Linked DNA regions of Lonchura striata. Each later gene encodes a partner of the first gene's protein in a complex. Links are inferred from orthologs where the notes say so. Each region holds a gene or a part of one and is shown in the gene's direction. Other genes may lie near its edges.

Evidence for each region.
Region 2: the proteins of TNPO3 (region 1) and CIRBP are in contact, whole or in part, in a crystal structure (PDB 8CMK), measured with the Homo sapiens proteins. The link is inferred for Lonchura striata from reciprocal best matches to the Homo sapiens genes TNPO3 and CIRBP. Residues at the interface, in NP_036602.1 of Homo sapiens: Arg620, Glu660, Arg661, Cys663, Arg664, Arg667, Phe668, Arg671, Ser698, Cys699, Tyr702, Ser705, Ile706, Asp709, Glu710, Asp747, Asp750, Asp751, Arg754, Arg758; in NP_001271.1 of Homo sapiens: Tyr160, Arg161, Ser163, Tyr164, Asp165, Ser166, Tyr167, Ala168.

Annotation. Positions count from the first base shown.
Region 1 is NC_134607.1:73,047,630-73,062,449, forward strand, and holds the start of TNPO3 (transportin-3), read left to right. Parts: upstream 1-7,642; 5' UTR 7,643-7,687; coding exon 7,688-7,813; intron 7,814-13,704; coding exon 13,705-13,905; intron 13,906-14,519; coding exon 14,520-14,593; intron 14,594-14,820. UniProt on the Homo sapiens protein: Importin, which transports target proteins into the nucleus. Specifically mediates the nuclear import of splicing factor serine/arginine (SR) proteins, such as RBM4, SFRS1 and SFRS2, by recognizing phosphorylated SR domains.
Region 2 is NC_134630.1:6,363,657-6,379,508, reverse strand, and holds CIRBP (cold-inducible RNA-binding protein), read left to right. Parts: upstream 1-8,698; 5' UTR 8,699-8,841; exon of another isoform or gene 8,842-8,847; intron 8,848-9,494; 5' UTR 9,495-9,500; coding exon 9,501-9,603; intron 9,604-9,698; coding exon 9,699-9,805; intron 9,806-10,236; coding exon 10,237-10,375; intron 10,376-10,466; coding exon 10,467-10,551; intron 10,552-10,656; coding exon 10,657-10,750; 3' UTR 10,751-11,076; coding exon of another isoform or gene 11,077-11,093; 3' UTR 11,094-11,851; downstream 11,852-15,852. Other genes in the region: protein FAM174C, read left to right, coding at 15,398-15,678. UniProt on the Homo sapiens protein: Cold-inducible mRNA binding protein that plays a protective role in the genotoxic stress response by stabilizing transcripts of genes involved in cell survival. Acts as a translational activator.

The DNA of each region.
Region 1 (14,820 bases):
ACCACACCCGGTATCCCCGTTCCCACTTTTGGGTGTCCCCATCCCTTCTGGGCACCCTCCCTGGCACAAACTGTCCTTGTGCCCATGGCCCGACTGTCCCTGTCCCCGTGCCTGTCCCCAGCCCGTGCACACAGCCTTCCCTGTGCGGGGCCCATCCCTGCCCCACCACCATGACCAAGTGCAGGACGCGTCACCGCCCCTGTCCCCGGCGGTGCCACTGTCACCTCGCTGACGTTGTGGGTGAGGACAGTGGCCCCCTGGAAGTGGGGCCGGTTGTCGTTCTCGTTGAGCACCTGGACGATGATCCGGAACTCGACCTGCCGGGGGCGTGGGGGACGGACACAGGCGGTGACCAGGGTGGGACCGGGCGCCCCCAGAGCTCCGGGTCCCCACCGTGCGTGGCCGTACCGGGGAGGAGCCGTCCTCGGCACACGTCAGGGCCACCATCAGCACCGGGGACTCCAGCTCCTGCGGGGACAAGGGACACTGGGACACGGGTGACGTGGGGGGCTGCCCCACGGGGTCCCCCGCCAAGCTGGGGCAGGAGGGGCCCAGCTGGATGAGCGTGGGGCAGGATGACCTGGAGAGAGAGGGGCTGCAGGATGGATGGACACAGCACGGAGGGAGCATGAATGGATGGACGCGGGATGGACACAGGATGGACACGGGATGGGCAGAAGAGGAAGGATGAATGGAACATAGACAGATGATGGTAGACCCAGGATAGATGGAGTATGGATGAGAGACAAAGGACGGGCACAGGTGGCTGAGGGATGGACACAGGATGGACACAGGTGGGTGTGGGATGGACACAGGTGGCTGAGGGATGGACACAGGATGGACACAGGTGGGTGTGGGATGGACACAGGTGGCTGAGGGATGGACACAGGATGCACACAGGTGGGTGTGGGATGGACACGGCTGTGGGAGGGAGGGATGGATGGTGGAGGTAGATGGACACCGGGTGGGTGGGGATGGACACGGGGTGGAGGGGGTGGATTCAGGATGGATGCGGGACGGACACTCGACGGACACAGGATGGCTGGAGCAGGGCAGGGGACCGGGGGTGTCCCGGCGGTGTCACCTCACGGTCCAGCGCCCGCCCTGCCGACACGTTGAGCCGGACGCTGCGCCCGTCCAGGTAGAACCAGGCGGCGTCGGCGCCCACCAGGCAGAGCTGGAGGCCGGCGCCGCCCCCCGCGTCCCCCGGCGGGGGCAGCCGCGCCACCAGGCTCCCGTGGGCGCTGTTCTCCGCGATCTCCGTGAACAGGTTCCCGAAGCCGCTGCAGCCGTCGCCCCGGGCTGCCGTTGCCGCGCCGGGGATGGGCACACGGGTGTCCGTGGGGGGGTGGCCCCGCGGGTCCCCAGCCTCGGGGTCCCCGTGTCCCCACGCCCTGGGTCCCTCTCCAGGTCCTCTCCCCCCGTTCCCTGCTGACCCTCCCAGGGTCCCTCGTGTCCCCGCGCCAGGGTCCCCATATCCCCAGCCCAACAGCTCCATCCGCGTCGCCACCTCCCCCCTCAGTCCCCCCGTGTCCCCACCACCCAAATCCCACTCCCTGGACCCCCAGCACGGTCGCCCGTGTGTCCCCCCGTGTCCCCACCCCCTGGTCCCCACCCCCGTGTCCCCACCCCCTGGTCTCCGTCCCCAGGACACCAGCGGGCTATCAACCCCAGTGGTCCTGCGCTCGGGTGACATCTTTGGGTCCCCTCTGTGTCCCTGTGCCCTGGGGTCCCACCTCTCACGGTTGCTACTCCCAGGGTCCCCACCAGACGCCCACCGGGTCCCTCCCAGCCCCGGTGTCCCGCTCAGGTGTCCCCTGTCGGCCCGGCGCCCCAGGTGCTCACCTGTGGCCAGGTGCAGCGCCAGGCAGGCGGCCAGGAGCGCCGGGCAGGACGCGGCCGCCATGGGGACACGGGGACCTGGGGGGCGCCTGCGGGGCGGCGGGAGGAGCGGGGCTGCCACCCCCGGCCCCGCGCCCCCGTCCCCAGCGCCCTCCGCAGTGTCCCCCCCGCCGGACAGCCCCGGTGGCAGCGCTGGCACCGCCCCGGCTCCCTTCCCCCGGGACTCTCGCGCTTGGCTGTCTCTGCCCGTGTCACCCACCCGGGCCGCCATGCCCGGGTCCCCTTCCCCAGGACCCCGGGGTGCCGCCGCTGTCCTCGGTGCACGTCCCCAGGGTGTCCCTGTCCCCACCAGGGGGTCTCACAGCCGTGTCCCCCCTCCGTGCCCCCTGACCAATGCCACTCGTGTCGCCCCCCAGGCCCCGCGCTGTGCTGGCCCTGCCCTGGGGTCTGCCGGGGGACCCTCGGCGTTCCCCGCGCGGCCGTGGCAGCCATATGGCGCCCCCCCCCCCCCCAATTAGCGGCAGGTAATTAGGGCGGGGGAAGGGGGGGCGCTCCCGTCTGCCACCCCCGCCATCCCGCGGTGCGGGGTCCCCGTGCTGTCCCCCAGACCCGCTCCCTGCTGGGGGCACGGCGGGAGTCGGGGGGCTCCCGTTCCCACCCTGCGCTCCGCGGGTGCCACCCCGCCCGCGTGTCACCCCCGTGTCCGGGCCCCCCGTGTCCGGGACCCCCTCCCACCCCGGGACCCCTCCCGGAGATCGCGGCCCCCCACAGTCCGCTCCCCCCGCCCCCCCGTACCTGCCCGGCGCCGCCGCCCCCGGCGCTGCTGCCCCGGCCCGGCGGGACGGGGGGGCGGGGGCGGGACCGGGCGGGGCCGGGCCGGGCCGGGGGCGGGGCTGACCCGGGACCTGCGGCCGGATCGGAGTGCTGCCCGGCCTGGCACCGCCTGGGCATCACCTGCATTAGCCGGGCATCACCTGCACCACCTGGGCATCACCTGCACCACCTGCCCGGCCTGGCACCGCCTGGGCATCACCTGCATTACCTGAGCATCACCTGCATCACCTGGGCATCACCTGCACCACCTGCCCGGCCTGGCACCGCCTGGGCATCACCTGCATTACCTGAGCATCATCTGTATCACCTGGGCATCACCTGCACCACCTGCCCGGCCTGGCATCGCCTGGGCATCACCTGCACCACCTGGGCATCACCTGCATCACCTGAGCATCACCTGTATCACCTGGGCATCACCTGCATCACCTGAGCATCATCTGTATCACTTGGGCACCACCTGCATTACCTGAGCATCATCTGTATCACCTGGGCATCACCTGCACCACCTGCCCGGCCTGGCACCGCCTGGGCATCACCTGCACCACCTGGACATCACCTATATCACCTGAGCATCACCTACCCTCCTGCACCTCCTGGGTGCCACTGTCACCACCTGCCCTGCCTGCACCTCCTGGATGTGGAGTCTTTGTTTCTTTTTTGGGCCTCAGGTCAAATCCCACATCCTCTTTAAAATTCCCAGTAACCAGGGCTCCAACACCTGGGTATCACCTGCTGGCACCTGCCTGGGCATCTCCGAGCCCCATGGGCCATGCCCGAGGATCACCTGCGTGCCCCAGTCCCTGCCTGCACTTCAGGAGATGTCACCTGTCTGTGGTGCCCGGGAGCATCCCCGGTCACCTGCCTGCACCTCCTCTGCCACCTGCCAAGGGCTGTGCCCGGGCCCTGCCTGCACACCTGGGCCGTCCCTGCACACCCAGGGCATTCCCTGCACACCTGGGCTGTCCCTGCACACCTGGGCTGTCCCCTGCACACCTGGGCCATCCCTGCACACCTGGGCCATCCCTGCACACCTGGGCCATCCCTGCACACCTGGGACATCCTCTGCACACCTGGGCCACCCCTGCACACCTGGGACATCCCTGCACACCTGGGCATCCCCTGCACACCTGGGCTGTCCCCTGCACACCCAGGGCATCCCCTGCACACCTGGTCCATCCTCTGCACACCTGGGCCATCCCTGCACACCCAGGGCATCCCCTGCACACCTGGTCCATCCTCTGCACACCTGGGCCATCCCTGCACACCCAGGGCATCCCCTGCACACCTGGTCCATCCTCTGCACACCTGGGCCATCCCTGCACACCCAGGGCATCCCCTGCACACCTGGGCCATCCCTGCACACCTGGGCCATCCCTGCACACCCAGGGCATCCCCTGCACACCTGGGCCATCCCTGCACACCTGGGCTGTCCCCTGCACACCCAGGGCATCCCCTGCACACTGTACCTGCCCTGCTGGGCTGTGCACGGCCTGCCCATGCTGCCTGCACAGGTGTGGGCCCAGGGAGGGAGTGTGACCCTCCCTGCACACCTGGCAGGGGTGTCACATCCCTGTGCACACCTGGCAGGGGTGTCACACCCCTGTGCACACCTGGCAGGGGTGTGACCGCCTCCACGCACACCTGTGGCCGGTGTGAGGCTGGTCGGGATGCGGCCCCTCCTTGCACACTCGCGTGTCCCCGCTGAGCCACCGCCGTAATCCGCTTTGGGGACAAAGAGGATGAGCTGGGGGGAGGGGGAAGTGACACGGGGGCCACCGAGGGGGAGTGCGGGTGTGAAAATGAGGTGAGGGTGTGTGTGCAGGTGTGTGACCCAGCAGTGACACTGCAGCTGTAGAGGGACTGACCACGAATCATGGAGCTCAGGCCGGGCTGGGCTGGAAAAGACCAGGAGAGGAGCTTGTCCCACACACCTGCCACGGGCACCACCACGAGGGGACGCAGGGGCTGGCCCGGGCGGGGCACAGCGAGCACCGCTGGCCTCAGGAGCCACCTCATCATTACTCAACAGTGACTATGGGGGAAAGGAAATTAAAGGAGTTTTCCCCCAAAATCCATCTCAATCCAGTGCCCCTGCCTGCCGACACATCGGGTCTGACTGCCGGCATCACCTAACCAGGAGCTGAGATGAGGAACAAGGTGGGATCAAGGCCCCAGGAAACCCCCCCATCCCAAAATCCCATGGATTGAGATGAGGAACAAGGTGGGATCAAGGCCCCAGGAAACCCCCCCATCCCAAAATCCCATGGATTGAGATGAGGAACAAGGTGGGATCAAGGCCCCAGGAAACCCCCCCATCCCAAAATCCCATGGATTGAGATGAGGAACAAGGTGGGATCAAGGCCCCAGGAAACCCCCCCAATCCCAAAATCCCATCACAGCTGCAGATGGAGTTTTCTCCCCAGATGTGGGGGCTGGCAGAGCCCCCCTCAGTAGCTGCTCATGTCTATTGTAAATGCAGGTGACCCTGGTAGGAAGAAATTATTATGTTCAGAAGTCTGAATGATTTCTTTAGTATAACTATACTATAATACATTAATATACCATTTAAAGGAGACACTAAAACTACTTACTTTTTTTAACTGCTATATTTAACTAACTTACAACTCGTGCCCCTCTCTGAGTCCAGCCCCAGGTGGGTTGGATTGGCCATCAGGCTCAAACAATCCTCACCAAGCACTCACCCCAGGGAAACAATTCTCCAAGCACATTCCACATGGGAAAACAAGGAGCAGAAACAGAAATGGTTTTCTCTTTCTTCCCTCTGTGCGTCTCTGTAGAAATGCTGAGACAGAAGAAGGTGCCTGGCACACGCGGGTGTCCCCCCCGGCTGTGCCCACGGCGCCTGGCCCCGCGTGGGGCTGGCACTGTGGGGGAGGATTTTGGGGACGTTTGTCCCTGTGCAGGTCGGGCCGATGTCCCCCTGTCCCGCCCGAGGCCCCGTCCCACCCGCTCGCGCCGCGGTGGCTCCTCAGCCGATCCCAAAGTGCAAAAGGCAAACGGCAGGGGAACAGCGGGTTAACCACCACAAGTGCACCTTTACGGGGGGCCAGAACAGCAAATGCCACGGAGGGGACAGAAAAGGGAAATAAAGGACGGAGAGAAAGGGGGGAAGGGGACTAGAGCTACCACTGTCAGGACTAGATCCTCGACGGCCCAGCCACAAGGATTTGCCATCGTCCATGGCGGTGCACCGCAGTCTTCCCAAAAATTAATTTACACGGCCTTTGTCCAAAGCGAGTGGCGCCTGGCCCGGGGGGAGATCCCTGGGGCACTGTGAGGAGCCCGCTGGGCTGTGGAGCAGCTGGGGCACGCAGGACAGGAGCAGCCCTGCCTGCCACAGCTCTGGAACGCGGCGCCCTGTGGAGCACGGGCAGCGCCCTGCACACAGACCCAGCGAGGGTCCCCCTGCCCCCCGATCCTGGCACGGCTGCCCCGGGCTGCCTGCCTGGTGCCTTTCTCCCCGTTCTGCCCTGTTTGTGTGCAACAAAAAGCTTTGCACCTTTAAGGCTCGTTCCAGGAGTGAAGGGGGGGGGAAGGAGCGCAGTTTGTTTTCAAGAGCTGCACTCCCTCCTCCACATTCCTGCTCCTGGACTGAGTGTCTGCAGACAGACAGACAGCGAGACAGAGCTCTCCTTTGCTTTCCTAGCTAGCTTTAGCTAGCTGAGCAAAGCAGTTCCCTGGACTGGGCTGTTTTCCCTTTCTCTGGACTGAACACCAGCAGAGCAGCAGCAGCTCCGGGCCTGGGCCGTGGCATTTCCAGCTCTGCAGGGCCGGATCAGAGACTGAGTGAGCCCAGCTGCAGCCCGGGGGGTTTCTGAGCTTGTCTCTCTCTTGGAGTGGCAAGAAGTTTTATTGTTTAATATTGTTTAGGTTTGCTTGTTTAATAAACAGGTTTTTTCCACTTTTCTCCAAGGAGGTATCTTTCCTGTGAAAAACACCAATCACTTGGTTTTTTAAAATTTTAAAAGTTTAATAATAATAAAATGGTTATAAAAATAGTAATACAATTAGAGTAATAAAGTTTAGAGTTAGGACAATTACAAGACAATAAAAAGCAAAGAATTACAGACATCTGGATGCTCTCGGACACTAAGTCACAAAAAGCATGACTTGTGAACAAAGGAATAACCTTAAAAGCAATAACCTGTTACATATTCATATGTCCTTCATGGTTATGCATATATTCTATTTAAAACAAGAACTCTGTCTGTTGTATGTCAAGTGTTTCCTTTACTCCCCATGGTGTGTTCGAGTCTGAGTAATGCCTGAAGAAATTAGCTTCCTCTGATAAGAAAACCGTAAATTTCTCTTCTCTGGAAGATTTAGGTATTCCTTGAAGCGAGTATCTCATTCCTTAAAAAACCCCTTCACATAGCAGAGTTTCTATTTTAACATCGTGCTGGAACCTGAAACTGTATTTAACACACCGAATACAGCATCACTTTCTGACATGACACATACCATATTCGTTGTAGCATTTGCGAAAAGCCAATCATAAAATACGCATTTTTCACACTGGGGGTCTCTGGAGCCCTGGGGACAGCCCGGAGGTGCCGGGGGGTGCCGGGGGGTGTCGGGGGGTGTCGGGGGTGCCGGGGGGTGCCGGGCCCCACGCCCCGGTTTTTTTGGGGGGGTGGGGCACGGACCCTTCCCGCCGCGCCGGGTGCGCCCGGACACATTTGCCCGCTGCACCGCCGGAAGCTCGCGTTGGGCAGGGCGCGGGGGGGGCGGGGGTGGGACAAACCGTGGCGGGATGGAATGGAATAGGACGGGACGCGATGGAATGGAACGGAACGGGACGGGACGGGTTGGGATGGGATGCGATGCGATGCGATGAGGTGGAAGAGGCGGAACGGGGCGTAGCGGGCAGCGGCGAGGGCGGGCGGCGGAACGGAAGGACGCGGAACGGAAGGCGCAGGGGCGCGTTTCCGGGGGCCGGCCCGGCGCGGAGCGGCGATGGCGGCGGGCGGGCGGCGCTGAGGGACCGGCCATGGAGCGCGGGCCGGGCCGGCCCAGCCTGCAGCTCGTCCAGCAGGCCGTGCAGGCGCTCTACCACGACCCCGACCCCAGCGGCAAGGAGCGGGCGAGCTGCTGGCTGGGCGAGCTGCAGCGCTCGGTGAGAGCCGCGGGCGGCGGGTACCGGGCCCGGCTCGCGGGGAGGCCTCGGGCCCCATCCGGGTGGGGCGGGGCAGGGAACGGCGGCCCCTTGGCGGCCTCGGGGAGCCTCTGCCCCGCCGCCGCCGCTTCCCGCTGCTCTGCGGCTACCCCATTCCTGAGAGCGCTCTGCAGAGGGACCGGGACAAGGCCTGCAGGGACAGGACCCAGGGAATGGCTCCCACTGCCAGAGGGCAGCCATGGATGGGAGATTGGGAATGAGGAATTCCTGGCTGGGCTGGGATTGCCAGAGCAGCTGGGGCTGCCCCTGGATCCCTGGCAGTGCCCAAGGCCAGGCTGGACACTGGGGCTGGAGCAGCCTGGGGCAGTGGGAGGTGTCCCTGCCATGGCAGGGGTGGCACTGGAGGGGCTCTGGGCTCCCTTCCCACCCAAACTGTTCGCCGGTTCCGTGATTAGCACCAGGAACAAGGGGCTGGAACGTTTGGCACAGTGCTGAGGCAGCTGGGAAGGAGGAATTGGCTCCCGGAGGGAAATTTGGGCTTCTTCTGCCGGCCGGGTCAGATCCGTGAGGGGATGGAGCCGAGCCCTCAGGACACACCCCGGGTTTGGGGTGTTGGTCGGTGTTCTCCTGCTGGGGCTGCTCTGTCCCCCTGCCTCAGGGGTGGTGCTTCCCCGCCCGGAGCTGGGCAGTTCCCGCTGTGCTCCCCCTTTCCCCAGGGCCAGGATCCCTGCCCTGGGGCCGGGGAGGAGCTGTGTCCTGGCCCTGCCTGCTCTGGCTGACCCAGCTCTGCCCGGTTCCCTTCCAGCTCCAGCCCCTTCCCGCTCCCTGGCCAGGCTCGCCACTCTTTGTTCCCACAAACTCGTGTTTTCCCATTTCCCCCCGAATTCCTGCAGTGCTGCAGCTCCCATCAGAGTTCCCAAGGGACTGTCCACGGCTGGGTCTGGGGGCTCTGCTGCTGCTCCCCCCATTTCCCCGGGGCAGAAGCAAGATCTCGAGGCAGCTGGAGGAGGGGCATTCACATTTCAGGGCTGGGTCCTGTCCCGGGCCCCAGGATTGCTGTTGGGTAAAGAGGTGTTCCAGGTCAGGCTCCCCATCCCCTGCAGAGTTTGGGTTTTGGGGGCTGATCTGTATTCCCCAGTATCTGGGAATCTGGGGGGGTCTCTGCTGCAGTTCCTCGGGCTTTTCCCTGGGCTCTTTCTGATAGAACATTAGCAGTAATAACAGCAATAATAATAATAATAATAATAATAATAATAATAATAAAAACAGCAATAACAACGTTGTTACTGACTCAGCTCAGCCCCAGGGCAGCAGCAGTCCTGCCTCTCCCCTTCTGCTGGGTCATTCCCCCTGCTTCTCTCTGAGCTCTGAGCTGCTCCCAGAAGGAACCCCACTTATTCCTGGGGTGTTCAGGCCCAGCCTGGCTCCATCCAGCGCCTCCCTCTGCTCGGAGCTGCTGAGTTCCCCCAGCCCTGCACAACTGGAGCTCCCTGGTGTGGGCTGGCAGCGTGGGATGCTCCAGGGGACCCTGCCCGGCTTGGGGTCACGGTGACCCTGGTGGGACAGGAGTCACTGTGGCCCTGGTGGCCCTGGCTGGGTGCAGCTCTTTGTCCCTCAGTGTCCCCGTGCCCTGGTCTGGATGGAGGCACTGGCATTAACCCCCCAAGGAGTGTTTGCTTGGATCCCGTTCTGTGCCCAGCCGTGTCCCTGCAGTGCCACCCGTCACGGGCTGTTTGCTGGCACCCCTGGGCTGTCCATGCCCTGCTGGGCTGTGTCACGTTTGCCTCTGCTGGGACGAGCTCTCAGGGTAGGGTTCCCACTGGCTTTTGCCTTTCTGGGGTTGTAATCACAGAATCCTGGGATGGCTGGGTGGGAAGGGACCCCAGAGCCCCTCCAGTGCCACCCCTGCCACGGCAGGGACACCTCCCACTGCCCCAGGCTGCTCCAGCCCCAGTGTCCAGCCTGGCCTTGGGCACTTGTAGGGGCAGTTTGGCTGACTGGGAGTGGGGACAGGGAAATCCTGGGAGCAGGGAGATCCTATTTGGAACAGCGAGATCCTTGGCTGCAGGTGCAGTTTGGGTGACTGGGATCAGGGACAGGGAGATCCCAGGGTCAGGGAGATCTGGGAACCTGCAGATCTGTGGCTGTGGGTGCAGTTTGGGTGACTGGAATCAGGGACAGGGAGATCCCAGGAACAGGGAGATCTGGGAACCTGCAGATCTGTGGCTGTGGGTGCAGTTTGGGTGGCTGGGAGCGGCGCTGCCCCAGCCCTGTGGGCACAGCTGTGAGGAGCAGGTGAGCAGCACTGCCAGCTCTGAGCCGGGCAGTGCCCGGGGTGCTGAGCAGCACTGCCAGCTCTGAGCCACACAGTGCCAGGGGTGCTGAGCAGCACTGCCAACTCTGAGCCAGGCAGTGCCCAGGGGTGCTGAGCAGCCTCACAGGGAGCAGAGGGCACACAGGTGCACTGCATGAACATGGGGGGATAAAAGGGGGTGAAGAACAACAAGGGCACGTGCTTGGAGCCTTCTGAGGTGGTGTGGTGTCACTGTGTGGGTTGAAGCCGTCTGAAATTGTATCTGTGGGATACATCCCATCGTAGGGATGAGAAGGCAAAACCTGCAGTGGAGTTTGGGTGCCTGGATCACTCTGTGGGGGTTCAGGTTTGGCACTGGGCACCCCCAAACCTAAGGGAGATCCCTGCAGTTCCCATCCCTGGTATCTCTGGCAGGACGTGGGTTCAGGTTTGGCTCTGGAGGGCCCTGGGGGCTCAGGTGTGTCCCTCAGCTCCCCCAGCTGCCTCGTTCTGGCCTTTGCTGCTGGTTATTCCTGGGAAATGGGGCCGGACGTGGCAGAGCAGCTCCGAGCCTGCAGAGCACCGGGGAGCTCAGCTGAAGGTGCAAGTTGACCTAAATCCCAGAATCTGCAGATCCTTCAGGCAGCCGTGGGCTGGGAGCTGTGTGAAGGCTGATTGCAGACTAGCTGGGGTTTCCTCAGGCAGAGGAGCTGTTCCCAGTGTGGGATTGGCCTTGTCCCAGCTTTCCCAGCTTCATGGCTGGCGTTTCTCTGCATCCCTGGTGTCTGGAGCAGAGCCCTGGGAGAATGTTCCATGTGGATCCACGGCTGTGACCTGAGTGTTGGAGCTTTGGTGTGCATTGAGGTTGGTTTGGGCTTTCGTGGGAGTTCAGGAACTGCTTTCTGGGAAGGAAATCCTCTGGCTTTGTAGAATTCCTGAATGTGCCATGAAGAGTTTCAGGCATGGAAACAGCTTCTTTGGTGCTCACAGCCCATTAATAATTGTGCTCTTTGCTGAGTTGGGCTCCCAGACGGATTATCCATGTCCCTGGGGTTGGTGGGCTTGGGAGATCTCCTGTGTCTGCCACCATGTCCATCTAAACCTGGAATTACCTTTGTTAATTGAGGGGAGAAGGAGTTTAGTGAGAGGGTTTGGTGGGATTCTGGCTGTTGTAGGTGTTGAGTTCTACTTCTTGTCTGTTCCCAGCGTGGGAGTTCCCTGTGAGGATAAATAAATCCGGGGGGTGTTTATGACAGCAGTGGCTCCAGGTGTTTCTCACTCCCTGTTAGAGTCGTTCCAGGTGAGTTTTACACCAGGAGATGCTGACCATGGAACAGCAGCTGTCATGGAGGCAGGGAAAGGAAAGGAAAGGAGGAGCAGAGCCTGGAAACGCAGAGGAGCTTGTCTGAAGGCTCTGGCAGGGCTCTCCTTGGCCAGGCTGTGCTCAGCCGTGGCGATGGACTGGCACTCCGTGGGGAGAACCTGCCGTGTCCTGTGGGGAGCTCCCGCCTGGCTGTGGCAGGGATGGATCCACGGCCGTGGGGGCTGAACCTGGAGGCACTGAGGAGCCGTGGGGATGTGGCTCCTGGGGACAGGGGGACATGGGGCAGCGGTGGCCTCGGCAGCGCTGGGAGCTCTGGGACTGCGTGGGCTGCAGGGGTTTCCAGCTCTGAGGGTTCTGTGGAAAGGAGGAAGGGAGAGGGGAGCACGTGGGGTGCTGGGGTCCCAGCCTCCCAGCTTGTCTGGGCCCTTTGAGTTCTGTGGTTGGCTCCAGCTGCGTTCCAGGCTCCAGTGGCTGTGGAAAGAGCTCCTAGCAGAAATTCCGGGAGTGGGATCAGGAACTAGGCCTTGTGCTATTGCCAGCTATAACATTTTCCTTTTCCATGTGCAAGAGACTGGGTTTTCCTGGGAATCAGCCTGGATCATACTGATCCTGCCTGGTGTTGCCTTCTTGTTCCCCTCTGTGATGCTGGAGAGCCCTGGCTCAGGATTTGGGTCTGGAGCACTGGTGGGGTGGAGCCTCTGAGCAGGCTGTCCTGCCTGGGGGGGGATTTGGAATGGGGATTATTTTGTCTTCCAGGCTGGAACGCAGCTGGAAGCGAGGCTAGGCAGGTGGTGGTTTGTAGCAGAGAGCTGTTTGGCTGTTGGAGTGACTGGCCAAGGGTTGTGATGGAATTGCCTTCATTAGTGAGGCTGGAATGAGGACCAGAGCTGGGTTTTAGGGATGCAGAGGTTTTATTTCGCTCTGGATTGAGCTCAGGGAAGTCCTGTGACCCAAAGGCTGTCAGAGACAAGAGCTGTGAAGCTCATGGAATTGATTCAAGTTTTGTTCCCAGGTTTCCACATCAGCTGGATTTGGGATTTTTAACCATGCTGGCCAGGGAGGTTTGGAGTTCCCGTCCCTGGAGGTGTCCAGGGAAGGACTAGACTCAGTGCTGTGGGCTGGGGACAGGGTGGGGACAAGGGCACAGGTTGGTCTCGATGGTCTTAAAGGTCTTTCCCACCCTCAGTGACTCTGGGATTCGGTGACTCTGGGATTCAGTGAATGTGTTCCCATGCCCCAGCCCAGCCAGGGGGCTCTGGAGTCTGTTGGGTGTTTCCCTGGCTCACCAGTGCCCCGATCCCACACTCAGGACTGAGCCTTTGGGTTCAGACCAGGCTGGCACGGGCTGGAGCTGCCCCGTGGCTGGGCAGGCTCCTGCCTGGCTCTCCTCCAGCGCTCAGGCACATCCATGTTCTGCTCTGGAGTCCCGGTGTGGGCCTGGTGTCCTCAGTGCTGGATTCCATATTGTGGTTGTAGTCTGGGGTTATCCAAGCCCCTCTGCCACCTGTGCCCTGCTGGGCTCTCTCTGTGTTTGTTTCTGTGTGAGACTCTGCTTAGCCCAGAGAAGCCTCTGCTGCCCTTTCCTGCAGGGTGGGGTGTTGGAACCCCGTGGGCTCTGCTCTCCCGACGGGGCTGTGGGGTCTCTGCCCGTGTTACAGAGCTGCTCTGTCCCTGCAGCTCCTCGGTGTCCCAGTGCCAGCCTGGGATGGCAGCACGGTGTGGGCTCTGCAGCCAGGGGTGTTCAGGGAGTCATGGAATGGGTTGGGTGGTCAGGGAGCCCAGAGCCCCTCCAGTGCCACCCCTGCCATGGCAGGGACACCTCCCACTGTCCCAGGCTGCTCCAGTGTCCAGCCTGGCCCTGGGCACTGCCAGGGATCCAGGGGCAGCCCCAGGTGCTCTGGCAATCCCAGCCCAGCCAGGAATTCCTCATTCCCAATCTCCCATCCATGGCTGCCCTCTGGCAGTGGGAGCCATTCCCTGGGTCCTGTCCCTCCACCCTTGTTCCCAGTCCCTCTGCAGCTCTCCTGGAGCCCCTTCAGGCCCTGCCAGGGCTCTGAGCTCTCCCTGGATCCTTCTCCTCTCCAGGTGAGCACCCCCAGTTCTCCCAGCCTGGATCCCTGGGATCTGAGGGGCTCCAGCCCTGGAGCAGCTGTGTGCATCTCTCTGGACTTGCTCTGGCAGGACAGGGCTGTGTTTCCATTGGGGAATTTGGACTGTCTGCAGCACCCTGACCCCCCTGCCCTGGCCACTGACCACGCCGTGGCTTTCCCACAGGTCCATGCTTGGGAGATCTCGGACCAGCTGCTGCAGATCCACCAGGATGTGGAGTCCTGCTACTTTGCGGCGCAGACCATGAAGATGAAGATCCAAACTTCATTCTATGAACTCCCCACGGATTCCCACGCCTCACTCCGGGACTCTTTGCTGTCCCACATCCAGAACTTGAAGGACCTGTCCCCAGTCATTGTCACACAGGTTGGTGATGGCAGAGGAGGGATGGAGCTGCTCCCTCTGTGTTCTGCTCCTGGCAGCCACTCTGGGACTGCTCTCCCTGGGCTGGAAAATGGGGAAGGCTAATCTCTGCTCCCAGCCTGGCACTAGATTATTTTCCCTCCTTCATCACTTGGTTCCTTTAGTTACACCCATTACTTCATCCTCGTTTGCTGTTTGGAGAGGAGCAGCAGGGGTTGCCCCTGTTCTCTGCCGTGGAGACCAAACCTAGCAGTGCCCTGGGTGTTCAGGGGATTTCTCTGCATGCTTCATTCCCATTATTCATATGTTCCCATGGCACTGGGGGGCCTGACACCCCCAGGCTGAGCCAGGGTGCTCCTGCAGCCCCTGAATGTTGTGGCAGGGAGTGTCAGCCCCCGGGGCAGCCGGTGTTCCACAGTTCACCGCGGGGATCATGCACAGACAGGGATGGGGAGATGGATCCCAGAGCTCCCTGCCTGTGGGCCACGTTGGGAGCGATTCCCGAGTTACCTGCTGGCAGGGATGTTGGGGTGGATTCCAGAGCTGCCTGCCAGCCCTATTTCCCGGGCACACGCCGGAACTCCCCACACTGATCCCTGTTCTCCATTCCCTTCCAGCTCGCTTTGGCAATAGCTGACCTTGCCCTGCAGATGGCTTCGTGGAAGGGCTGTGTGCAGACACTGGTGGAGAAGTGAGTGCCTGTTCCTGCCTCTGGCCTGGGGATTGTTCCCCGGGCTGTGCCAGGCGGCTGTGGTGCAGGAAAGGGAAGTTTTTCTCTCGTGATGGCTGATTTCAGCTGTCCTGGGTGGTGGCAGGAGGGGCTATCTGCCGTGCACGCTTCCCTGCTCACAGCCCAACACTCAGCGCTTTTCCTCATCCCTGTTTTGTTAGGGACAATCCCTCTTCCCTCAGCTGTGT
Region 2 (15,852 bases), on another chromosome or scaffold:
CCTCTCCAGCCCTTCCTGGAAGAGCTGCAGGGAAGGTCCTTGCTGTGTGGGGCAGCTGTGCCCATCCCCACGGCATCTGGGTGTCTCATACAGGAGGGAGAGCCTGTGAGGCTGAAGGCTGCAGGGCTGGGGCTCAGTGCAGGGTCCCTGGGTGCTCCTGCCTCGTTGGGTGGGGACAGGGTGAGGACCCCACACTGTCTGGGAACGTCGTTCTGGGAGTCCCTGAGCTGCTTCCTCTTCCCCGTGGCGGGTGTGTGGGGCTGGCAAGAGCGTGTCCTGCCTGGAGCCACACGCTGAGTCAGGGACAGAGCAGGAATAGAGTCGGGTGCCTGAGTCACGGCCCATGTGTGAAACCAGCAGCACTTCCCCAGGAAGGGGGAACCCCATAACCCTGACAACCCTGGTACGTGTTGGCCACTTCCCTGGGATCAGGGTTCTCCCCTCCTGGATCGGCCCTAGCCTCCTTTGGAGCTGAGAGCTGCTGGCTCTGTCCCTCGCTGCTGCCAGCAGCCACAAGGACGGGAGATCAGGCAGGGAATGGCTGCCTCACCTCAGACGGGGGGCACAGAGCTCCCCGCCAGCCCCAAGGCTTTGCCAAGGCACTGGGAAAACCTTGGGGAAGGCGTGCAGGGAAGAGCCAGAGTACTCAGCCACCCTCATTTGCAGCTCCCCTTACACACGTGCGTGTGCACAGTGCACCCCCACACGAGCGTGTGCATCGCTCTGCAAGCGTGAGTGCCAGCCTGTCCTGCTCGCCAGCCCCCCCAGCCATCCGTCTGTCCGTCTGCGTCCCCCGCCAGCCCCCACAGAACTCCCATCCCTCCCACCTCCCCCAGAGCGCTTCCGCGGTGTCTCCATTGATAAATCTGGAGCGTTGCCACGGCAACGCTGCAATGGGGCGCAGCGGCTGCATGGCTGCATGGCTGCCGAGGGGCCCAGGCCCACGGCGGGGTGCGGGTGAGAGGAGGGTCGGCTGGATCCTCGTGTCAGATTGCACACGTGTGACTGCCCAGGTGCGTGGATGCACGCGTGTGGGTGTGCACGCGTGCACACTGATGTGTGCTCTGCACGTGCAGGGTTTGGGGGCTCGGGGACCCCACTCTGGGGCAGCACTGGTAGACGGAGCCCTTGGCACCGTTTGGTTCTTCCTGCAGCAGTGTCGGGAGGGAAACTGAGGCACTGGCAGCGTGGGATTCACCCTGTCACAGACTGTCACTTGGGACAGGGGGACCTCACAGTGCCACCAGCTCTGACCCTTCCCGCACAGTGCCGGGTCTGGCCAGCATCCTCACGCCCTGGCTGGGGTCTCACACGCGTGTGGGGCTCTGCGGTGGGATTGTGGGGTGCCGGGCGCCAGGATCAGCCCCGTTTGCAGCCAGGAGCTGGGGGGACACGGGCAGGGCACGGGGTGACACGGGGCGAGCGCAGCGCGGCCGTGGCACACGCGTGGGCGGCGCGGTGCCGGGGGGGGCAGGATCGGTGCACGTAGCGTGGCTGCCCTCTGCTGCCACGGCCACGGCAGCGCTCAGCACCCCGGCACCCCTGGGACGCCGCCAGGGCAGGGAACCCCAGGGTGCTGAACAGTGGCAGCTCGCTCAGCCCACAGCAGGACCCGCCGGGCTGGGGTGAGGCACGGCCAGTGTGAGACAGCAGGGGATGAGATGCTCCGAGATGCTCTTAAAGCTGAAATCCCTCTCCACGCTGTGCCCAGCCCCAGCTGGGATGGGGTCATGCAGCAGCCAGGATGGAATGAAACTTTTTTTTGGGCTTCCACGGGGCAGGGGCTCAGCCTGGTGTCAGTTCTTGGTGGCTCCCGCTGCTCTCGGGGCATGGATCTTGCAGCTCCCTCCCATCCTCCATCCCGCTGCTTTGGGAAGCGGGTCACGTCCAGCTCCCGGCACGGCAGCGATGCCGGGGGAGCTCCGCTTTCCGGGGCAGCTCGGAGCCGCTTCCAGCGTTTTTGGGGATTGTTGGGAGGAGGATTTCCGGCGGGGCGAGTCTACGTGGCACTGCCACCCCGGGAATGTGGCAGCGGGGAGCTCAGCCCCCACTCCCCTTCAGCTCATGCCGGTGGGTGCCGGGGGGTCTTTGCTGCTGTGGCAGCATTGCCAAGCTCCCCCAGAAAGCTCCAGGAGTCGCTGCCCTGTCTCGGGGCAGCTGTGCTGGGTGGCACCAGCCCGAGCAGTGCCAGGATCCGGCTTTTCCCTGTGGAACGCCCGGCTCCCAGGGCAGGCGTGGTGCTGCTGGAGGCAGAGACGCTGCCTCTACCTGCCTCCGTTCGGATCAGCGCGATGGGGAGAGAGCGGGGGAACTTTCCCGACTCGTTTCCCCACATTGAGGGGAATTAAAAAAAAAAAAAAAAAAAAAAAAAGAGAGAGAAGGAGTCGCATGACTTGGAGCTTCCCGAGAGGCAGCGCGGGGAGAGAGCGACCCAGGCAGCCAAAAATCCGCTCGGCTGTCGTGGCTCGCTGCTGCTCTGCGGGGCCGGGAGAGGTTGGGTTACGGGAGGCGCGGAAAGGGGACGGTGCAGGATGAGCTCATGCGAGGGCGCGGGAACCTTCTGGGCAGGAAAAAAATGTTGATGCTGCAGTTCAGGGATTTCTGCAGTCGCGGCTGTTCCCGCAGATGCCGGCTCACTCCGCCGGGCCACCCCTCGTGCTGATGGGCAATGAAATGACTCAAAAAAAAAAAAAAAAAATACTAGGGGACGGATGCTGTGCGATCAAGGTGATTCACTGCCCTTGCAGGGAAGCAGCAGCACGCAGCGAGCCGCTGAGGAGCAGAGGGGGAACACGGGGGGCCTGGGAGGACATCGCGGTCCTGGGGAGCCCTGAGACCCTTGTGCCACCCTGCATGGGATTGTAGGGGGTGTGACACCTCCGGTCCTACCGCGAATCACGGCAGCAAAGTGCAGTGTGAGACATGCCTGAGGGGTCTGGAAGAGTTCCAGTTTCCCTCAACACCTGAGCTGGCCCCCCTCGGCGTGTACTTTACCTCTTGCTGGGGAGGGATACGATGTTCCCAAGTCTTGGCGGCTTTTCCCCTGCGGACTGTGATAAACCCTTCCCACCCCTCTGTCCTGCAAGGTCGCCTGGTGTCAGGCGGTCAGAGGCTGTTTGTCCTGTCCTTGGGCAGCATCTCCTGCCCTTAAGAACTCAGCGCTGCAAATGCTCTTAGGTGATGATTAATGAGCGCTTATATAACTGAACCGAGTCCTTAATGCAGACAGGAGGGCGACAGGAGGGAAGGTGGGAGCAATAAACCACACGTCGCTGCTGCTGCTGCTTTCCCACACCAGGGAAGCTGCGTTCTGTGCAGGGGGACCCTGGCAGATGTGGGGGAGAGGCCACCCACGGGGAAGCAGCTTGGGCAGCCCCCATCTGGGTTTCCCCAGGCAGTGCTGCATCCTTTGGGAGCAAGCGGCTGGTGGTGCTGCCCTGAACCACGTTGCCCTTGGCACGGTCGGGCTCTCTGGCGTGGCAGAGCTGGGAGGTGAAGGGTTTATGCTGGAAAAGCATTCATGTATCACGGTGAGTGGAATGTTGTGCTGGCGAGCTGGGAGTGCTGGAGGAAATGGGCAAAAATCCCACAGTAACACCTTAGTGTGACCCGTGAGGGGTGATGAGGCTGCTGCTGGAGATGCTGGGTGCAGTGGTTTCTAAATTTGGCTGTGTTTGGGCAGGTAGGGATGGTCTGACACACAAGATTTGGTTTTCCATCGTGTAGCTGGGAAGCACCAGCCCTGATAAAGCTGCTGCTCAGTGCCAAGGCAGTTACATGGTTTCCATGGTTACCACATGCTTATTTTTCACCATCTTCCTCACCTCAGCCGGGGTGCACCGGCATTCCCAACCCTGAATCCCCCCTGACCTCAATCGGGGTGCACTGGCATTCCCAGCTCCCAATTCCCCTGGGCTCCAGCTGGGTGCACCAGTATCTCCGATTCCGAATCCCACCTGGACCTCAGCTCATTTCCTAACGCTGCAGTTTGGATATCCCGCCGCTGTGACCCCCATCACCTCAGGGCACCTTGTGCCAGCCCGGATCTCGTGCACCTTTTTCTTGTGGATCCCATCCCCGTTGCTCCCGGCGGATCCGATCATTCTGCTCTTTGTGGATCCAATCCCCCCGCTCCCTGTGGATCCCATCCTTCTGTTCTCTGCGGATCTGATCCCGGCGGATGCCGTGCCCCGCTCCCCGTGGCTTTGTCCTGCAGCCCGGTAAATCCCGGTCACGGGAAGCGCAGCGGCCGCGCTCCTCGCCATGGTAACGGGGATTGCGTCAGGGCTTTTCTTTCCAACTGCAAAGCTGGATGAGCAGCTCCCTCGGGGCCAGGAGGAAGGGAGAAGGGAATATTCTTTTCCCTGGGGCGTTTTGGGACTGCCAGTTCCCTAATCCAGCCCTGGTTTGGTGTTTGCTTGCGGCTCCAAGGCTGCCAAGGGCCAGACACGGTGGGAACAGCGAGGGCTCCCATGCCAGGCACACCGAGGGGTCCCGTGCTGGGACACTGAGGGGTGCTGTGCTGGGGACACTGATGGGTGCTGAGCTGGGACACTGATGGGTGCTGTGCTGGGACACTGATGGGTGCTGTGCTGGGACACCGATGGGTGCTGTGCTGGGACACTGATGGGTGCTGTGCTGGGACACCGAGGGGTCCTGTGCTGGGGACACTGATGGGTGCTGTGCTGGGACACTGATGGGTGCTGTGCTGGGACACTGAGGGGTGCTGTGCTGGGGACACCGATGGGTGCTGTGCTGGGACACCGATGGGTGCTGTGCTGGGACACTGATGGGTGCTGTGCTGGGACACTGATGGGTGCTGAGCTGGGACACTGATGGGTGCTGTGCTGGGACACTGATGGGTGCTGACCTGGGGACACTGATGGGTGCTGTGCTGGGACACCGAGGGGTCCTGTGCTGGGACACTGATGGGTGCTGAGCTGGGGACACTGATGGGTGCTGTGCTGGGACACCGAGGGGTGCTGTGCTGAGGACATTGATGGGTGCTGTGCTGGGACACTGATGGGTGCTGTGCTGGGACACCGAGGGGTCCTGTGCTGGGGTCCCTGAGGCCTGGGAAGACTCTGTGCTTCCCCTGTGGCATCTCCCTGCTCCTGGTATAAGATGATCTTGCAGGGAAAACCAGGAAGGAACCAGAGGCTTGGTGTTGGCTGGGGTGGAGGCGCAGGGATGAGATCTTCATTCCGGCCTCACATTCCCTCCTTTCCTGCAATCCCAGCAGAAACAAAGGCAGAGGAGGCGGCTCCTGCGCCCTGCAGGATGTGCTGGGGCGTGCGGAGCTCCCCCACCGCTGTGCCTGGAGCAGGGAGGATGGTCCCGGGGGCTTTGCCGAGGCTCAGGAGCAGGAGGAACGCTGTGCCAGAACCCGGAGCGGGCGGGGGAAGGGGGCTGCCTGGAGGGCTTTGTTCCCTCCCAGCCCCGGGTAAAGCACAGCAGCACCAGAGGATGAGATGTGGCACCACTGCCCCGTCCTCCCCTTTCCACCGCTCCTGTTCCCAGCCCTGGCCCGCGGCGGCAGCACCGGAGGAGCTGCTCCGGGATTTGGGAACCTCATCAGAGCAGCGCCCGGGGCGGGGGCTGCCCTTGGCTCCCCAAAAGGTGCCAGGGCTGCCAAGCAGGTTTGGGCTCAGCTGCTGCACGGCTCTGGGCAACTCCAGGGACTGGGAAAGAGCCCTACAAACAGCCCAGCAAGGTGGGGACCCCCAGAGAAAGCCCGCGGTGCTGTGGATGGAGCGTGGGATGTGAGAGAGGCTCATGCTGATGTGGGAATGGCACGGGGTGAAGGTGGGAGGGCAGCACAGCTCCTCCTGTCACGGTTCCCCCGTGGCATTTCCGTGTGGTGCTATCCCTGCTGTGCTGCTGGACAGGCAGAACTTCTAGGAAATCAGATTTGCATTAACAGGATGTTCGGTCCTACAACCTCTGCCCTCGGAAGGTTTAAAAAATAGGTGATAAAAACATCAGTCGTGTGTGGGGGGATTGCTTGAATCAGCTCCAGGTGATCCCTGAGGTCCCTCCAGCCTCTGGTGATTCACAATTTCCCGTGGCTGCACCTGTACACACAAACAGCTCTGCTTCAGAGCGGATATTTGCACTTCCTAAGGAAGTGCTGGCACTTTTGTCAAATGGGGTCACTACGGCCACAGCCCTTCTCACAGCCAGATCCAGGTGACCAAAATTAGGGCTCAGCCAGGGAAAACAGCCATGGGTGCTCAGGTCTGGAACTCACACAGGAGTGAACTCTGCATCTCCTACGTGGTGTTGCCTGCTTGGGGCCCCTGGGCAGGGCCCTTCTGCTGCAGGAGGTTTGCTCTAAGGATGTGAATCCCGGGCTGTTTCAGTGCTTAATTAACTGCCCCAATGGCTGGTGCAATCTGCCGGGTGAGCTGCCTGCCTGGCTGCTCCCAGCGCTGCTCCCAGCCAGAGCCCAGCCTGTGGGACGTGCAGTGATGTCCCTGGTGACGTGGGGCAGCTGCGGCCCCTGTGTGCAGCCTGATCATGGAATATCCAGGAGGATTGTCAAATCCACAGCTGATGCCATGTCTGATGCCATGTCTGATGCCCCGAGTCAGGGCACTGGAGCACTGAACCCTCCCTGCAGCAGCAGCACTGGGGCCAGAGCACACCGTGTCTATTTGGCCCAGCTCTCTCCTTGTGTCACTGGTGACTCTCACTGTCAAAGCAAAGGCATCAACACGCCCCAGGGAGACAGAAATCAAACTTTTGGGACACAACCAAGCAGGGCTGTGCTCGCCATTCCCTGTCACAGGAGCTCCTCTGCTGCCAGCAGCCCTTGATCCTGCTGGGACTCAAATTCCCCCAAAGCAGCAAAGGTTCTCACTGCTATTTTCACAACACCCGACCTGCCTGGTTTTGTGTGGAGTCAAATCCCAGTGAATCCCGGTGTTTGTCCCTCAAGGTTTGCAGCGGGGTTAGTGTTGGCTGTCCAGCATCTCAGGCTGGAAAATGGCTCTCTGCATCAAGGTCACTTTATCCACCCTCATCACAGACCAGAAATGCTCACGTTAATGGGTCTCTAATTTAATCAAAATGCTGTGCCTGTGATTGCAGGGCTGGGATCTTTTCCTCTCTTGAAGGGCAAAAATCAATTTGCAGTAACAGCAGATGCGTCTGCTCCCTTCTCCAGGCCTAGGAAAGTGAGTACATTTTTTCATCGTATGAAAATAATAATATTGGCCAGGTGTGTCATCAATATTGGGATCTTTTATGTGCTTTTGAACACTTTGGTGGCAGCATTCTGTCCCTGTGGCCCCGTGAGCTCAAAAAATCCACAGCTGCTGTGGTGCCCCTGGGTTTTGTAATTGCTGTATTACCTATGTGCAAACTGCCCTTTTCCTGCAGATCCCAAAGGGATCCCAACAAATCAGAGAGGAAAAGCCTAATTTCCATGTTCTGGGACGCAGGGAATGGGTGATCGGTGCTCGACAGAGCAATCACAGGCAGGTTTTTTTGCATTTCCCTGTGGTTTGGAAATCGGTCACCAAGTAGTTGTGATTTTTGTACTCCAGTGATTTTCTTCTGTGCGGCCTGGCTCTGACTGGAAATACTGGGAGGGAAGGGAAGGGAAGGGAAGGGAAGGGGAAAAGGGAAGGAGCGGCAAACTGCGGCTGCAAACTGCACCATGAATTACAAGGAGTTTGTGGAAGCAGAAAAAACGTGTCTGGCGGTACCTGGGAGAGGGGACACACACACAGTGACCCTGCTGTGTCCAGTGCTGTCCTTGGGCGCGGGGCACACACGGGGACAGCACAGCCCCGTCCTCGCCGCGTTTCCTTCCCGTTTCCTCACGCTGCTCTTCCCTCCCCTGCATCTCCCCCTCTCCATTTCTTCACGTGCGTCTCTTCCTCTCCAATGTTTCCTAACACTTTTCTACGTGAGATTGTAATGTATGGCACACCGAACGTTTTTATTTTGAGGACTTTCAAAGCTGTGTCGCCTCTCGGTAAGACACGTCTTTGGCTTTGCCAATTTTCTCTTTCAATACAAAGTTTTTCCTGCTGAAGGCATTCTCACTTTTCTCAGACCTCAGGATGGGCTTTTAAAGTTTTCAATTTTTGGGGAAACAGGTTGAGAGCAAAGTTTTGTGTTTTTTTTGTTTGTTTTTTTTTTTAAGAAAACTTTGTTGCTTTGACTACTTCTATCATCTAGGGCAACACTGCAAAGAGGGAGCTGAAGGGATCATTCCCCCACGGGACAGAGAGGAAGGCGGACGGTTCTGGGGCACAAAACGGGCTCCCTCAGCGGGGCGGTGACCGACGGGGCGGCGGCGGGAGGAGCCGCCGGAGCCCGGCCGGGGGCAGCGCCGGGCGCCCAAGATGGCGGCGGCCCCTGAGGCGGCCCCTTTGTCTGCGGCCGCCGCCGCAGTGCGAGAGGGCGCGAAACTGGGCCAGCCTGGCCACGCCCCCTCCGCCAGCCTGGCCCGCCCTCCCGGCCAATCAGCGCCCTCCACTTCCTCCCCTCTCACAGGGGCGCTCCCGCCCGCCTCCGCGCGCGCAGCCAATGGGCGCCGCCTGCCGCGCCCCCGCCCCCCCGCATGGGTGGAAGGGGCGGGGCCACGGCGTGGTTTTGTTTGCTTCGCCCCCGTCGCGGTTCATTAATATTAATGAAATCCCGCCCAATCAGGTGGTGAAGCGGCGGCGGCGCTTTGGTGACGCGAAGCCCCTCCTTGCAGCGGGGTTCATCTGCATATTCATAAGATAGGCGGGATGAGGCGCGGGCGTTTATAAGGCGCCGCCCCGCCAGGCTCGCCGTACATTTCGCTGAAGCTTTGAAGTGTTGTGGGAACCTCGCGCCGCCCGGGTATCGGTGAGCGCAGTCGCGCGGGGCGTCCGCGACCGCACCGGGCGGGGTGGTCCGCGGTGAGCGGAGCCGTGTCCTAGGGGCAGAGCTCGGGGTCCCGCAGGAGGCTGGGCCGCAGCTCCCGACCCGCCGATCGGTGCCTTCTGCGGGCACAGGGGGCGCGGCAGAGCGGGCCGGTGTGGGCCGCGAGGGGGAAGGGGCCGCGGCGGGGGGAAAGGCGTGCGCGGAAACAAAATGGCGACGGGCCTCGGCCGTGCAAAATGGCGGGCGGGAGGGAGGGGGCGGCGGGCGCCGCTGCGCCGGGGAGGCCGGTAGGGGGCGCGGCGCGGCGCGCATGCGCGCTGGGCACGGAGGGGCCGGCCGCGGGGGTCCCACCGGGGCTCGGCGGGACCCGACCCGGCCGCCGGTTCCGCCGGGGCCCGGCCCCGGTGATGCTCCTGCCGCTGGGCCCTCGCTCCCGCCCGCCCTGAGGGAGACCCGTTCTGAGGCTGGGAGACCACATAAGGTGTGGCCTCAGGGGCGCATAAGTGGTCCGGGAGTTTGAGGTTACATCGGTGGCGTTATAGGTAGTGTTAGAAGGATTTAATGTTTGTGGCCTGGCGGGGATTATGTGGGTTTTTTGAGTTGCTGACTCGGTTCTGTTGGTTTGGCAGGTCAGAATGGCATCAGATGAGGGAAAGCTCTTTGTCGGCGGGCTGAGTTTCGACACCAATGAGCAGTCATTGGAGCAAGTCTTCTCTAAATACGGACAGATTTCTGAAGGTGAGACTGCAGAGCCACAATGACATAGTTTCCCTTAGTCTGTTAAATTTCCCTGGTGCTGATGGGTTTTTGTTTCCTCTATGTCCTTTTCATAGTCGTGGTGGTGAAAGACAGAGAGACTCAGAGATCCAGAGGTTTTGGATTTGTTACTTTTGAAAATATCGATGATGCGAAAGATGCAATGATGGCCATGAATGGAAAGGTGAGGAGGTTTCGGAGTTGATTCTTCATTTCCCATAATGGAGGAGACTCAGAGGTGTGCTGTTGTTCAGGCTGTGTGGAAAACCAGATAAATGCCAGTGTCTTAAATGAGCTGATATGGATGTAAAAAATCTGGCTATATAGATTAATACATAGAACCTATATGTATATATATACATACTACGAATACAAATTGATAAAGTTCCATTATGGAACCTGGATGACTGAGATACGACTTTATAGGTATTCCCGTAAATGCAATTAATATATCAGGTTTTTTGCCTACTTGGTTTAATTGTGGCATGAAATAGATGGTTATTTCTTGAGCAGCGAGTCCTGGCACTGCTCAGCCAACTGTGAAGGCATGTGACTCCTTCTACATGTGCTTGCTATTTAAATGTTTCAGTTTGGCTAACTGTGGTTGTGTTTTAGTCTGTAGATGGGCGTCAGATCCGAGTCGACCAGGCTGGGAAATCATCTGAGAACAGATCCCGTGGCTACAGAGGGGGGTCCTCGGGGGGCCGGGGCTTCTTCCGCGGGGGCCGAGGCCGGGGCCGTGGCTTCTCCAGAGGTGAGTGCATGGGGGTCAGTCATAATGTCTGGATGGGGGAATGTGTCTTGTCAGAATGGTTAAAAAAACCGCGTTTCCATGTATTTCCAAGGAGGTGGAGACAGAGGCTATGGCGGCAGCAGATTCGACTCCAGAAGTGGAGGCTATAACGGCTCCAGAGACTACTATAACAGCAGGTAAGGGCTCTGCCAGCACCAGGGCTCGTGGGCAAGCTGTGGTGGAATTCAACCCAGCAGAGAAGGAGTTGAGCAGCTGTAAATGAGGTGCTGTTTGTCCCGCAGGAGTCAAGGTGGCTATGGAGACAGGAACTCAGGAGGGTCCTACAGAGACAGCTACGACAGTTACGGTAAGTCCTGCTTCGAGCGGGAGCGCTGAGTCCGTGTGCTGTAGGAGCTCTGAACCTGCTGAGCCTGAGCCTGGAGCTGGGGCAGGCTCAGGCTGTGGACGTGGTGGTGCCGGGAGATTCTAATTTAATGCATGTGCAGGAGTTGCTCGGATCTAAGGCAAAGCAAGTGTTTAAAAAAAAAAAAAAAATAAGGTGTTCCTGGAGCCCAAACTCGGCTGCCCTAACGCACTGACCCGCGGGTGGGGGATCTCAGTAGCCAAGTAGCCGTAGCCTCGGAATATTGCAAAGGGAGTAAAATGCTGGAACTTGTCTTTGCTTCAGTGCCTTTACAATTGTGCCTGCTTCTTGTCCTCAGCTACACACAACGAGTAAAAATCCTTCCTGACTCAAGATCGTCCTTCCAATGGCTGTATTTATAAAGATTTTTGGAGCTTCGCTGAAATGGTTATTGTGTAGTACATCTACTTGTATTTTCACTTTTGTAGTATTATCAGTTCTGATCTTGTCATACACAGCCTGGCAGCTTCTGAAACGAGACTGTCTGATTAGACTGTCTCAGAGAAAGCTCTGCTTTCAAGTGGTTTTAATCTTCTTTGAAAGCACTTCAGATTTTATTTTATTCTCCATGAATGAGCCAAGGTGTTCGTTTTTGGTTGTTTTTTTTTTTTTCTAAGTTGGGGCCCCAATTCAGTTTCTTTTGAGCTAGCAAGGATCTTGTACCAATGTTCACTGGAAGCTGAACAAGCTGTGGACTTTTTATTCTCTTTTTTTTTTTTTTTTTTTTTTAAGTGCATTACCCTTGTCTTTTGTAACATTCCTTTAGTGTAGCAAGGTAGGAATGCAGCTTGGGTTCCGTTGGAAGGCAAACCACCTTGATATATCTAAAGAGAAACGTGCTTGTATGTTCCACTCGCATAACGGTATTTTTACTGTTGTAATGATGTAAATGACCCAGAACTAGACTTGCAAACTTACCATAAAGAGGTTCTTGAAAATGTTTATTTATATTGTCCTTTTTTACTGGAAGAAATATGCATATTCCATTGCTGTTGTATTTGAAGTGGTAAAGGATTCCTGTATACAGTTTTCTTTGGCTTTACGAAGCCTATTAAAGGACCGTCTGAAATGAACTCTGCTCCTGACATTTACATTTCATTGCACAACACAACCCTTGGAGATGAAGAACAGTCACGGGAGCGAGAGGAGGAGATTAGGGACAGTGGCAGAGCTGGCCGGACGATTGCCCGGGCGCTGGAATTTAAATCCTAAAATCGGTCTTGACATCTGAATTGGCCAAGAAATTTCACATAAAGTAGTCAAAACTTGTCTGTAGAGGCTGGAAGTACAAACCTGAGGGTGTGCTAGGAGCGAAGTGAAGTTGGAATGTTAGGAAGGATAATGGATGTTTGCTCCAAAGCTGCTGTAGCCTACACTGGGAAGCTGTAGAGAAGAGCCAAGTGCTGTAGTCCCTGGGCTGTTCCCTGCGTGCCGAGCGCGTGTGTGATGTAGGGGAATGCCGGGCTTAGCTTAGCTGTGTCATTGCTTACAAGTTCTAAGAATTCTTTGCTAGCAAATGGAAACTGCAGTGTCCTTGGAGAAAAGAAGTGTTGTGCCTCCAACAGAAACCTCTGAGACGAGAGCTGCTCTCTTGGCTAGTTCATATGTGGAAATAGTCCTGTAATTCGAGGTAACTCCTTTTGCTCATGTCCGCATCCTTCCTCTTGTTGAGAGCTCATTTGAAAGTCTAATGTACCTGTGAAATATTCCTTTTGACAATTTTGGTCAGCTACTGGAAAAACGTTTAACCCATGCCGTATGCAACCTTTGGCTTGTGGCACACCTTGAGTTCCACAGATCAGAGTTGGGCATGCAGCCGTGTCTTGCTGTAGGTACGGAAGCAAGATTGGAACGAACTCCCTGACTCGATATGTGTTCATCTATTGAGACTCTTCTAGACTTCATTAAGTTGCTCACTTTAATTGTAGCTTTCTTTGCCATCCTACTTGTTGCCATTAACTTTTTCCCATGGCCCACACTTCCTAAGCAGCCATGTCCAAGTGTTAACTCTCTGCTTAGGGGATCCAATCCATGGGCTGGCTGAGCACGGGCAGCAGCCGGCCCGGAACAGTTTTCCCAGACTGTGCTTTGTGGTGTGATGGGTTCAGCGATGGCTTGTGAGACCCTCGTGCGCTGTGAGCTGTGTGGGGAGGTTGGGGGCGAGAGCAGCCTCTGCCCTGGGCCTTTGTTAATGCCTCTCTGCTTTAGCAGGCTGAAGGGACCCGGCACACACCTCGGAGGCCCAGCGGATCCTGAGCGACCAGAGCTGCGTTCCAGGGATGCTGCAGCAAGTTTGCCAGCCAGGTAATGTCCCTTTCATGGTTTTTTTGTTTTTCTTTGTTTTTCCTTTGGCTGTGTCCCTGTTCTGTAGCCCTGAGCTCTTAAGTGGTGCAGTAACCCCGTTCCTTTCCTGTATCTTTATCCACCTTCCAATTCTCTTGTCTCCATTTCGTTTCAGCACTGAGACATGTCAGAGAAGGCAGAAGGACAGACACTGGAGTGGAGACATGAAGAGCACAGAGCAGTGGTGTTGATCATTTTTACATGAACCAAATCAATCAAGACAGAATAAAACACTGAAATGTGGAAAAAACCAAATTTCTGTGGTACTTTTTGTGGGAAACAGAATGTTTTTGGCAAAAGTATTTGGTGCACAGCCCAGTTCAGAGCACAGAGCAAAACCATCACTCTGGTGCTCGGAGGTGGACACACTGCTCCAAGCAGATTGATGTGTGATCCTCGTGGAAAATGAGGTCTTGTTGCAGGTAAAATCCCAAAAATGTGGCAGCTTGGTAATGAGGATTAATAAAATGTTGGGAGAGGCTGACAAGCTGAATGTGTTTCTGGCAGGAGATTGCAGGGTGAGAGCAGTGAGTTTTTGATGATCTCAGCTGCTCCTGCCCTTCTGTTTCGTGTTAGAGAAGAGTTGATTGCTTCATCCTGCCCTATTCTCCCCATTTTTTGAAACGGATAAACTCAAAATTTGGTGATGGGCTCATTCAGGAGCCCTGAGAACTTGCTGCCCAATCCCACTGATAAGAGTCTCCAGACACTCCTGCCTGCAGGAGGGGATTATTGAGCTCACTTCACAAAACCTACTTTTCCTCCTTTAACCTTTTTCAAATTATCTAAGAAAGCAGCATTTAAAAAAAGCAATCAGCCATGACACACTTCTGGGGGTTGTATTGAGCAATTCACCAGTGAGGATTTTTGCATGTTAATGCAGGAGGATATGAAATACAATGAATTGTGAGGAGTGTGTGAAGTCTTTGCTGATAAAAATGCAGTCAGGTGAGGCTTAAATTAATTCAGGCTGAAAATACTTACAAATAATGCTTTGTAAGACCTTCCTAAATAGGATGCTTCGATGCAGGCAGAAATAATGAACGGGTGCAAAAATAGCCTGGTTGAAGGTGCTGTTATTTTTGGCACTGCTAATTATGGCATTGCGTTAATGATGTATTGCTGGGATGGGTGAGGGAATCGCTGGAGCAAGGGGCTGGATGTGGAACCCAGTGCGTCACCAGGAAGGTGTTTGGGTGCTGTGGGTCTGACGTGAGCTTGGGTGACCCAGTTTTAGCCAAAATGCCCTTTTTTAAAAAAGTAAGCCCTGTGTGTCCAGGCAGCTTTGAGCCATTCCCTGAGGAAAAAATAGGGAAGTGGAGCAGGGCTGAAGGGTGGTGACTGAGCCCTGCTCAGCCAGAAATGTCTGCAGAAGGAAGAGGTGGGGGATAGAAATTACTGAAATGCTCAAAATGCTCCTGTTTCCAGCTGTGTTCACCATGGGCCGCCCTGAAGGGTGAAGGAGAACCCTGAGGGGGAAATGGCGGCTCTGGGGGGGAGAAGGGCTTGTTATGAGGGGGAAGTGGCGACTCTGAAGGAGAAATGATGACCCTCGGGGAAATGGTGGCCTTGAGGGAGAAAGGACAACCCTGAGGGGGAAATGGCGGCTGTGAGGAGGGAATGAGAGTTCTCAGAGGGCAGCAGCAGCCCTGAGAGAGGAATGATGACTCTGAGGGGGAAATGGCGGTTCTGAGGGAGGAATGAGAGTCCTCAAAGGGCAGCAGCAGCCCTGAGGGGGAAATGGCGGCTGTGATGGAAGAATGAGGGTCCTCAAAGGGCAGCGGCAGCCCTGAAGGGAGGAAGGATGACCCTGAGGGGAAAATTGCGGCTGTGAGGGAGGAATGAGAGTCCTTAAAGGGCAACAAGAGCCCTGAGAAAGGAAGGATGACCCTCGGGGAAATGGTGGCCTTGAGGGAGAAAGGACAACCCTGAGGGGGAAATGGCGGCTGTGAGGAGGGAATGAGAGTCCTCAAAGGGCAGCAGCAGCCCTGAGGGAGGAAGGGTGACCCTGAGGGGGAAATGGCGTCTCTGACAGACGGGGTGTTGCAGTGAGGGAGAAATGGCGTCGCCGCCGATCTACGCGCAGCCCAGCGAGGGCACAACAGCAACCCTGAGGGCGAAATGTCGGCTCCGTGAGCGGGTCACGGCCGGCCCGGAACGGCGCAGCCCCGGAACCCGCGAGCGGTTCCGCGGGGCCCGGGCGGGGCCTGCGCCGCGCGCACCGGCCCGGCGCCTTCCTGCGGCCGCCGCTCCCGCTCCGCCGCCCCGGCCCGGCCATGCCGCGCCGCCTCCTCCTCCTCCTCCTCCTCCTCCTCCTCCTCCTCGTCCTCGTCCCGCACCCCGGCCGCGCCGCCGCCCCCAGCGCGGGGAACAGCGCGGGGAACAGCACGGAGCCGCCGCGGGCGGCCCCACGGAACGAGACGCAGTCGGTGTGGGAGCACGAGCCCGGGCCGAGGCTGGCGGTGGGGTCGGGGCTGCCGGTGCTGAGGCGCGCGGTTTATGTGCTCAGCGCTCTGTCGGCGCTGGCCGCGCTCTACTTCATGCTGCGGGCGTTCCGGTGAGTGCAGGGCTGTGTCCGCGTTCTGCTGGTCTTGTCCCCACCCTGGTGTCCCCCTGACCCGGGGCTGTGTCCCTGCTGCTCCTCGTTCCTGTTGCCCTTGTCCCGGGCTGTGTCCCAGCTCGCCTCGGTTCCAGGGTTATCTGGCACGGGGATGTGCCGTGCTAGTCGTGG